2 linked regions of the Macaca fascicularis genome follow. The protein of the gene in region 2 interacts with the protein of the main gene of each other region in a pairwise test. Links are inferred from orthologs where the notes say so. Each region holds a gene or a part of one and is shown on either strand. Other genes may lie near its edges. The genes, in order: GNAI3 and GPSM3.

The links.
Region 1: the proteins of GPSM3 (region 2) and GNAI3 interact in binary tests that used the Homo sapiens proteins (3 or more experiments, as listed by UniProt). The two-hybrid records come from large-scale screens. The link is inferred for Macaca fascicularis from reciprocal best matches to the Homo sapiens genes GPSM3 and GNAI3.

Annotation. Positions count from the first base shown.
Region 1 is NC_088375.1:124,757,083-124,760,897, reverse strand, and holds part of GNAI3 (guanine nucleotide-binding protein G(i) subunit alpha-3), read left to right. Parts: intron 1-1,964; coding exon 1,965-2,093; intron 2,094-3,815. UniProt on the Homo sapiens protein: Heterotrimeric guanine nucleotide-binding proteins (G proteins) function as transducers downstream of G protein-coupled receptors (GPCRs) in numerous signaling cascades.
Region 2 is NC_088378.1:139,518,902-139,522,816, reverse strand, and holds GPSM3 (G-protein-signaling modulator 3), read right to left. Parts: upstream 2,379-3,915; 5' UTR 1,975-2,378; coding exon 1,933-1,974; intron 1,713-1,932; coding exon 1,610-1,712; intron 1,371-1,609; coding exon 1,171-1,370; intron 967-1,170; coding exon 829-966; 3' UTR 227-828; downstream 1-226. UniProt on the Homo sapiens protein: Interacts with subunit of G(i) alpha proteins and regulates the activation of G(i) alpha proteins.

The sequences.
Region 1 (3,815 bases), on a different chromosome or scaffold from region 2:
TGTGCATAAGGACAGGGATACATTCTGAAACATGCATCATTAGGTGATTTGTCATTGTGTGAACATCATAGACTATGCATACACAGAATTAGATGGTATAGCCTACTACACACCTAAGCTTTGTGGTATATCCTGTTGCCCCTAGACTGTGAACCTGTACAGCATGTTATTGTACTAAATACTGTAGGCAATTGTAACGTAATGGTAAGTATTTGTATATCTCAACATCTCTAAACATATAAAAGGGTAATAGGGCCCATGATGTCACTAGGGACTAGGAGTGTTTCAGCTCCATTATAATCTTACAGGATCACTAGCATACATTTATGGAGTCTGTTGTTGACCAAAACATTGTTATGCAGCGCATGACTGTATTTGAAAACTTTCTTATTCTTTCAGTGAGAACTTGACTTTAGAAACGTTTCAGGATTCTTGCCTACCTTTTAATAACATATTTTAGTTGCAGGTATTGAGAGCTTAAATAATTCTACCAGTGGTCAACAAAAGTAGATTATAATTGCTTTTTTCATCATTCATTCAGAAAGCTCTGAATCCTCTAACTACATGTGCTTACATTATAGAGATTTTCATAACAGTTGATCTAAGTTTGCCTCTTTACATTAGTGATAGTATTTGGTTTTATAGATCATTAATGATTCACTTATATTGGTGCCATCTGCTCATCAGTTTTCTAGCCTGAAATCAGCAAAGAATATAGTTTTGAAGCAGTCTTTTAATTATTTCCCTGAACAAATTAATTTTTTTTGGAGGTATTTACAATTTGTTTTTGGTTTAGATTTAAAAAACCCCCAAACCTCCCCAACTCTTCTGTTTATTGAAAGAAAACGGAAAATATTCTTACTCACTATAGTTCTCTTAATTTTAATAAATTAAACACCATTCTCTAATGTCCTGTCAAATGGTTAAACACACATGACCTATTAAGTTTAATTGTCTGAGGACTTTTGGTATAATTTGGTTTTGGTATTATACAGTATGCAGTTAATTTAGTATTACATTTCAGGAATTTTTCTTTACTAAAAACATTTCCTGTTCCTATTGTTTTAATTTTTTAAATTGGCCTTCACAGTTTAATTCTGTAGAATTAAACCTACTTTTGTGTCTGGGCACGTTGGCTCACGCCTGTAATCCCAGCACTTTGGGAGACCAAGGCAGGCGAATCACCTGAGGTCAGGAGTTTGAGACCAGCCTGGCCAACATGGTGAAAACCCATCTCTACTAAAAATACAAAAAATTAGCTGGGCGTAGTGGTGAGCATCTGTAATCCCAGCTGTTCAGGAGGCTGAAGCAGGAGAATCACTTGAACCTGGAAGATGGAGGTTACAGTGAGCCGAGATCACACCACTGCATTGCAGCCCGGGTGACAGAGTGAGACTCTGTCTCAAAAAAAAAACAACAAAAAGAAAAGAAAAGAAAACAAAAACCTACTTTTGTTAATGTATATAGACTCTATACTTTAATTGTCCTATGTTGGATTCGTATTTTTTCTTATTATTTATTTCTTTTTTTTAAGAGACGGGGATCTCACTCTGTCACTCAGGCTGGAGTACAGTGGCACCCTGCAGCCTTGACCTCTTGGGTTCAAGTGATCCTCCTGCTTCACTCAAGGGTAGGAGGATTAGCTAGGACTATAGGCGTGCACCACCATGCTTAGTTAATTTTTAAAATATTTTGTAAAGACAGGGGTCTCTTTATGTTGCCCAGGCTGGTCTTGAACTCCTGGCCTCAAGTGATCTTCCTGCCTTGGCCTCCCAAAGTGTTGGGATTACAGTCATGAGCCACCATGCCTGGCTTCTTATCTTTTCTATGATACTGAAGATCTGATTCTGTTTTGCCACTCTAGTAACTAGTAACAGGTTTAGAATAGGAACTAATTTAGTCTGTTGATTTGCTATGCACATGGTTGGCTTCACCAAGTAAAAGTAAGTGTGTCTTTTATTTAGTTATCTAAATGATCTGGATAGAATATCCCAGTCTAACTACATTCCAACTCAGCAAGATGTTCTTCGGACGAGAGTGAAGACCACAGGCATTGTAGAAACGCATTTCACCTTCAAAGACCTATACTTCAAGTAAGTCATTAGCCTTTTTGCTAGGTGTGCCAAATACAAGTATCTTTTGTTTTAGTTTACCATCTCTTAATCAGGGCAAAATTCCTCTGGGCAGTATTCCTTGGTTTAGAAACTTAACCTATTTATCAGCATTGTTTGAATATTTTAACTGAATGGGGGCCCAAACATCTCTTGTTTCTCCAAATAGCATCAAATGTTTGTGTCCATTTAGAGGAATTTAAATTCAAAAATAAATTGTAACTTGCCTCCCAGTAAAATTTTTCCTGTGATAACTGGTTTGTTTTAATTTTATTCTTTTCAGCTGCTTGTTAGACTCACCAAAACAGATATCGAATGTTTAATACGGTAACAATATTGAACTTATGAAAACCAGTTTTTTTGGTTAGTTACATGGTTTTGTTTTGCCATTTTGATATTAAAATAGGAATGCTTTTCTCCCCAGTGTCACTTCTTTTTGGTTTGAATTTCCCTTCCAGTTGAATGGAATGGAGCAAGTATTATCATGGCTCTTGAAGTAATTTGTGCGTAGTGTCATGTACAATTAAGTTCTTAGTACAGTGCAGAAATATGGGGATAGAGGTGTTTTGGGTTGGTAAGATGACATTTAAACAGTGATTTTTTTTGGTTTGTTTTTAAAATTTTATTTTTTAGAGACAGGGTCTTACTCTGTCATCTTATCTGGAGTGGAGTGGTGTGATCATGGCTCACTGCAGCCTTAACCTCCTGGGCTCAAGTGATCCTTCTGCCTCAGCCTTCCAAGTTGCTGGGACTGTAGGCTCATGCCACTGTGCCTGGCTAATGTTTACCAAAAAAAAATATGTAGAGACAGAATCTCTCTTTATTGCTCAGGCTGGTCTCAAACTCCTGGGCTCAGGTGATTCTCCCACCTTAGCCTCTCAAAGTGCTGGGATTGCAGGTGTGAGCCACCATGCCCAGTCCAACTGTGATAGTTTGAGAGAGAGAAAATTCTAGTATTCTAATACAAATAACTTTCTCATTAGCATTAGTAATTCTTTTTTTTTTTTTTTTTTTTTTTTTGAGACGGAGTCTTGCTCTGTCGCCAGGCTGGAGTGCAGTGGTGCAATCTTGGCTCATTGCAACCTCTGCCTCCCGGGTTCAAGTAATTCTCTTGCCTTAGCCTCCTGAGTAGCTGGGAGTACAGGCGCCCGCCACCACGCCTGGCTAATTTTTTTTTTTTTTTTTGTACTTTTAGTAGAGATGGGCTTTTACCGTGTTAGCCAGGATGGTCTCTATCTCCTGACCTCGCGATCCGCCCGCCTCGGCTTCCCAAAATGCTGGGAGCCACCATGCCTGGCAGCATTAGTAATTCTAAAACAAGCCTCAGCTTGTCTCTGTGTTAATGGTCTTTTATAAATATTAGAAATGTTTTTTTGGTTCCTATTTTCTTCTTTCGTGACCTTTGAGATTAGGAGTAAACTTTTCTCCTTCAATATACCATGTGTTCTTTAGTTATGTTATTATGCTTATATGTAGAATGTGATGTTCGGCATTATTGCATACAGATGTAACTACTACCTCAGAGCCTGTCAGGTTTTTGGTCTGAAACCAGCTCTTACACAGGATTTGTGAAATCCACATAGGGTTTACTTATTACTAGATACCAGTCAGGGTCTTGAAATCCTAATACACTAAACTAGATTTTTTCCTGGTGCAGGAAAATAGCAGTTCAGCTCTGAATGCTTTTAGAATAGACTTGCTGCT
Region 2 (3,915 bases):
CATATTTCTTGTTCTAATGACTCCCCTCCCTGTTCTACTTAATTAAAACCAGGAGAGGGGGGCTGGGGGAGATAATTAGGGAGGTCTCCAGCCGCTGCTTAATGAGCCAGTAATTAACCAGCCAGGGAGGGGAGCTGGCCTCTGGCCAGACTGGGGAGAGAGGCGGCCTCTGGCCTCACCTTCCTACCCTTCACCCCGCCCTGGTCCCCCAGACACCAGTCTTCAGTCCAGAGGGGTATTACATTTATTCACACAACCAAAACATTGGACAGACTCAGCAGCAGTGGGGAGGGAGGGTGGGCAGGGCTGAAGGTCCATTCACAGCCTCTAAACCCCTCAGTCTCAGGGATGGGGGGTGCTGGTAGTGGGACTGGGAGAATAGTCTTAATCTCTCAGGTGCCCACCCACCTTCCCTTCTTACTGGGAGGAAGGGTAGAGCTGTCTCTCAGGTTATAACCTCTCAGGAGGAGGCCTGAGCCCTCAGACCCTAGTGCCTAGTAGCTCGACAATTGGTGGTGTCCCCACAAGTTAGGGAAAAGACTCCCAGCCACTCATTGAGATGGGTGCCTGGGATCCCCCTTACTGCCTCAAGCTCCCATGGACCTGTGCAGGGGGGAGTTAAATCCACGTTCCACCTCGCCTGTTCCCAGAGTTTGAGGCCTTTCACCCCGTCCAGTTCCCAAGGAAGGTGATGTGGGCGATGAATATTGAGATTTGCGCTGCGTCTTTCAGTCTGTGTTACCCCCGCCAAGCAAGAGTTGAGGGCATGCAATAGGCTGCCCAGCTTTCAGACCAGGGGCGAGGAAGGGCTGGCTGGGGGCTCAAGTCTCAGCAGGTGTGTGTGGGGGGCCGGGACCTTTGCTCCTCCATTCGACCCCCACCCTGAACTCTCAGCAGCAACTCCAGGAGCTCCTGCCCCCCTGGAGGGAGGGGAGGCTCTGACCGCTGGGCTTCCATCCGCTGGCACTGGAGGAGTGGAGGCAGAGGAAGAGCTTTGGTGAGGGTCGGAGGGGAGGAGGTTCTTGAGAGGATCAAGGGTTGGTATGGGGAGGCATATAGGAAACCTGTGAAGGTGATGGGGTGCCTAGGGAGAAGCAGGAGTAGAACCCAAAAGAGAACAGGGCCAAGAGACCAGGAGGCCTGGGTTTGCCTCCTGGGGGGATGTCTTACCTGGTGACTGAGGATGGTGCTGTAAAGCTGTTCTCTGTCCTCAAGAGGACGGAGTGGGGCAGGGGCTTGGCTTGGGGGGTTTTGTGGGGTGAAGAAGGTGGCCCTCTGCTCCTCTAGGCGGCGGGACTGGGCTTCAGCCACCAGGTCCAGAAGGAGCTCAGTCTGCAGGGAGAGCAGGGAGGCCGAGCGGGGTCCTAGTGCTGGGGAGAGGGGTGTGGAGGGCTCAGAGACCCAGAGAGGTTGGCAGACAGGAGCCGTGGGGGAGTGTGGATAGGGTGATGTGATTAGGGACTTTGGGTCAGAGGAGAGGCGGCGCAATGGGTAATCCCAAGGGGAGTCTGGAGGAGGTGGGGAGAGGGCCCACAATGGACTGGGCCTTGGTAATGGGATCAGGATGTGGGCACCAGGGTCAGGGCTCTCCCTGGGTGGGTAGGGGTACCTGTGTGGCGGGTCCCTGGAGGAGGAGGGGACGGAGGAGCAGATCGCCAAGGCCGAGTGGTGGAGTTTGGAGGGGGCCAGCCTTGCTCATCCTGAGGGGGGCCCTGATGCCAAAATATGTCCATTCCAGTCAAGCAGTGGTGGTTGAAGTGGGTGGAGTGGACAGGGGCTAGGTCAGTGGCCCGTTTCCTCTCTGTGTGTCTCTGTTCCTGCCTCAGTTTGCCCAAGCCTTTCAAGGCCCCTGTGTCCCTACATTTCTGCCCCAGATCCTCTCACCTCCCTTCTTTCCCAGTGTCAGCCTCCCCAACCCCGTGCCCAGCTCACCTGCTCACCATCCTCTTCTTCCTGGGGTCTCTCAGCCTCCATCCCCTGGAGGGGAGAAACTGGTGGGGGAGGGGTGGCTGGGATTTGGGAGGAGGGCCGGAACCTTGGGTTCCTGAGGGGAGTGGGGGCTGGAAGGGGTGGGGGTGAGCTGGGGGCTGGATGCCTGGGTACTGAGCAGGAAGCTGAGTTCCTGGTCAGCCCCCCCACGGGCCCCGCCCATCCCTGTCAACTTCCTCCATTCTCTTTTCCCACCCAAACATCTTGTTCAGTCTCTGTCACCCCAGGGGAGCACAGAGACTGGGAAAAACTCCTCCAGCTGCAGGAGTGGAGGGGGCTGATGGTGGGGAAGGACTCCTGGCAGTCTCATCTCCAGAGCCTCAGTAGCCCCCTAATCCCTGACTCTGCTCCCTCCACCCCACCTCCTCTTCTGCTCTTTCTGTCAACACAGGAACTAGCTACACAGGAAGTGGTTTCACTCCTCAGAATCCCCCTCCCCCCAACCAGGTCCCTTCCCTCCCTGAGATAGACCCTGCTGTAGGATTTGGCCCTCCCCATCTTCCCTCTTACTTACTGGGTCTGGGAGGGGGCATGGTTCCAGTGGGAAGTAGAGGATTCAGACCTAGGGATGTGGAGCTCTCAAATATATACATAAAACCCTAGCACGGTGAAACCCCGTCTCTACTAAAAAATACAAAAAAACTAGCCGGGCGAGGTGGCGGGCGCCTGTAGTCCCAGCTACTCGGGAGGCTGAGGCAGGAGAACGGCGTAAACCCGGGAGGCGGAGCTTGCAGTGAGCTGAGATCCGGCCACTGCACTCCAGCCTGGGTGACAGAGCAAGACTCCGTCTCAAAAAAAAAACAAAAACAAAACCCTAGCAATGGGTCCAACACGTATTAAGTATTCAATATATATGTATTGAATAATCCCTGACCTTCAGGTATTTATAGTCTATTCAGGAGATGGCTGGCAGCTGTGGCTCACACCTGTAATCCTAGCACTTTGGGAGGCCGAGGAGGGTGGATTGCCTGAGCTCAGAAGTTCGAGACCAGCTGGGCAACATGGTGAAACCCCGTCTCTACTAAAATACAAAAAATTAGCCGGGCGTGGCCACATGCGCCTGTAGTCCCAGCTACTCAGGAGGTTGAGGCAGGAGAATTGCTTGAACCCGGGAGGCAGAGGTTGCAGTAAGCCAAGATTGTGCCACTGCACTCCAGCCTGGGTGACAGAGCGAGACTCCGTCTCCAAAAATAAAATAAAATAAAATAAAATAAAATAAAATAAAATAAAATATACACTCTATTCAGGAGACAAGATGTGTACCAAATGTGAGAGTACAGGAAGGCTTCATTTTGGAAACTTATAGTTTAGTGCAGATAAGGGGCAAGGGAAAACCTATTTTGGGTATAAGAGATGTAGATATGGAAAAATGAGAGGCTGAGGTGGGAAGACTGCTTGAGCCCAGGAGGTTGTGGCTGCAGTGAGCCATTTGTGCCACTGCACTCCAGCCTGGGCAACAGAGCAAGACCCTGTTTCAGAAAAAGAAAGAAATGAAATGAAATCGAAAAGGGAGAGGACTACCTCTCTGGCTTGGTCTTTGATCAATGCTAATCAGGTTGGTTGGCATCAAGGAAGGAGCAGGGCAGACAACCATTTGGTACCTCTAAATGGCAGCCTGTCATGTTAGGGAGTTTATAGCTGAGTGATTTGGAATGTGAAATGTGATGAAGAAGAGATCTGGTCCTGCCACTTATTCCTTTGCAATCTTGGGCAGATCTCTGTGCCTCAATTTCTGAAAGAGTGAAATAGGGTTTTAATAGCACCTACTTCATAGAGTTGATGTATTAAATGTAATAAAGCACTTGATGCATAGTGGATACTCAACAAACTGTAGATATTATTGGCTTTCAAAATGCCTCATGACTCCATGTTTCAAACCTAGCAACTTGTTGCTGCAAGGTGGACAGTTTCTTTAAGACACTCTCT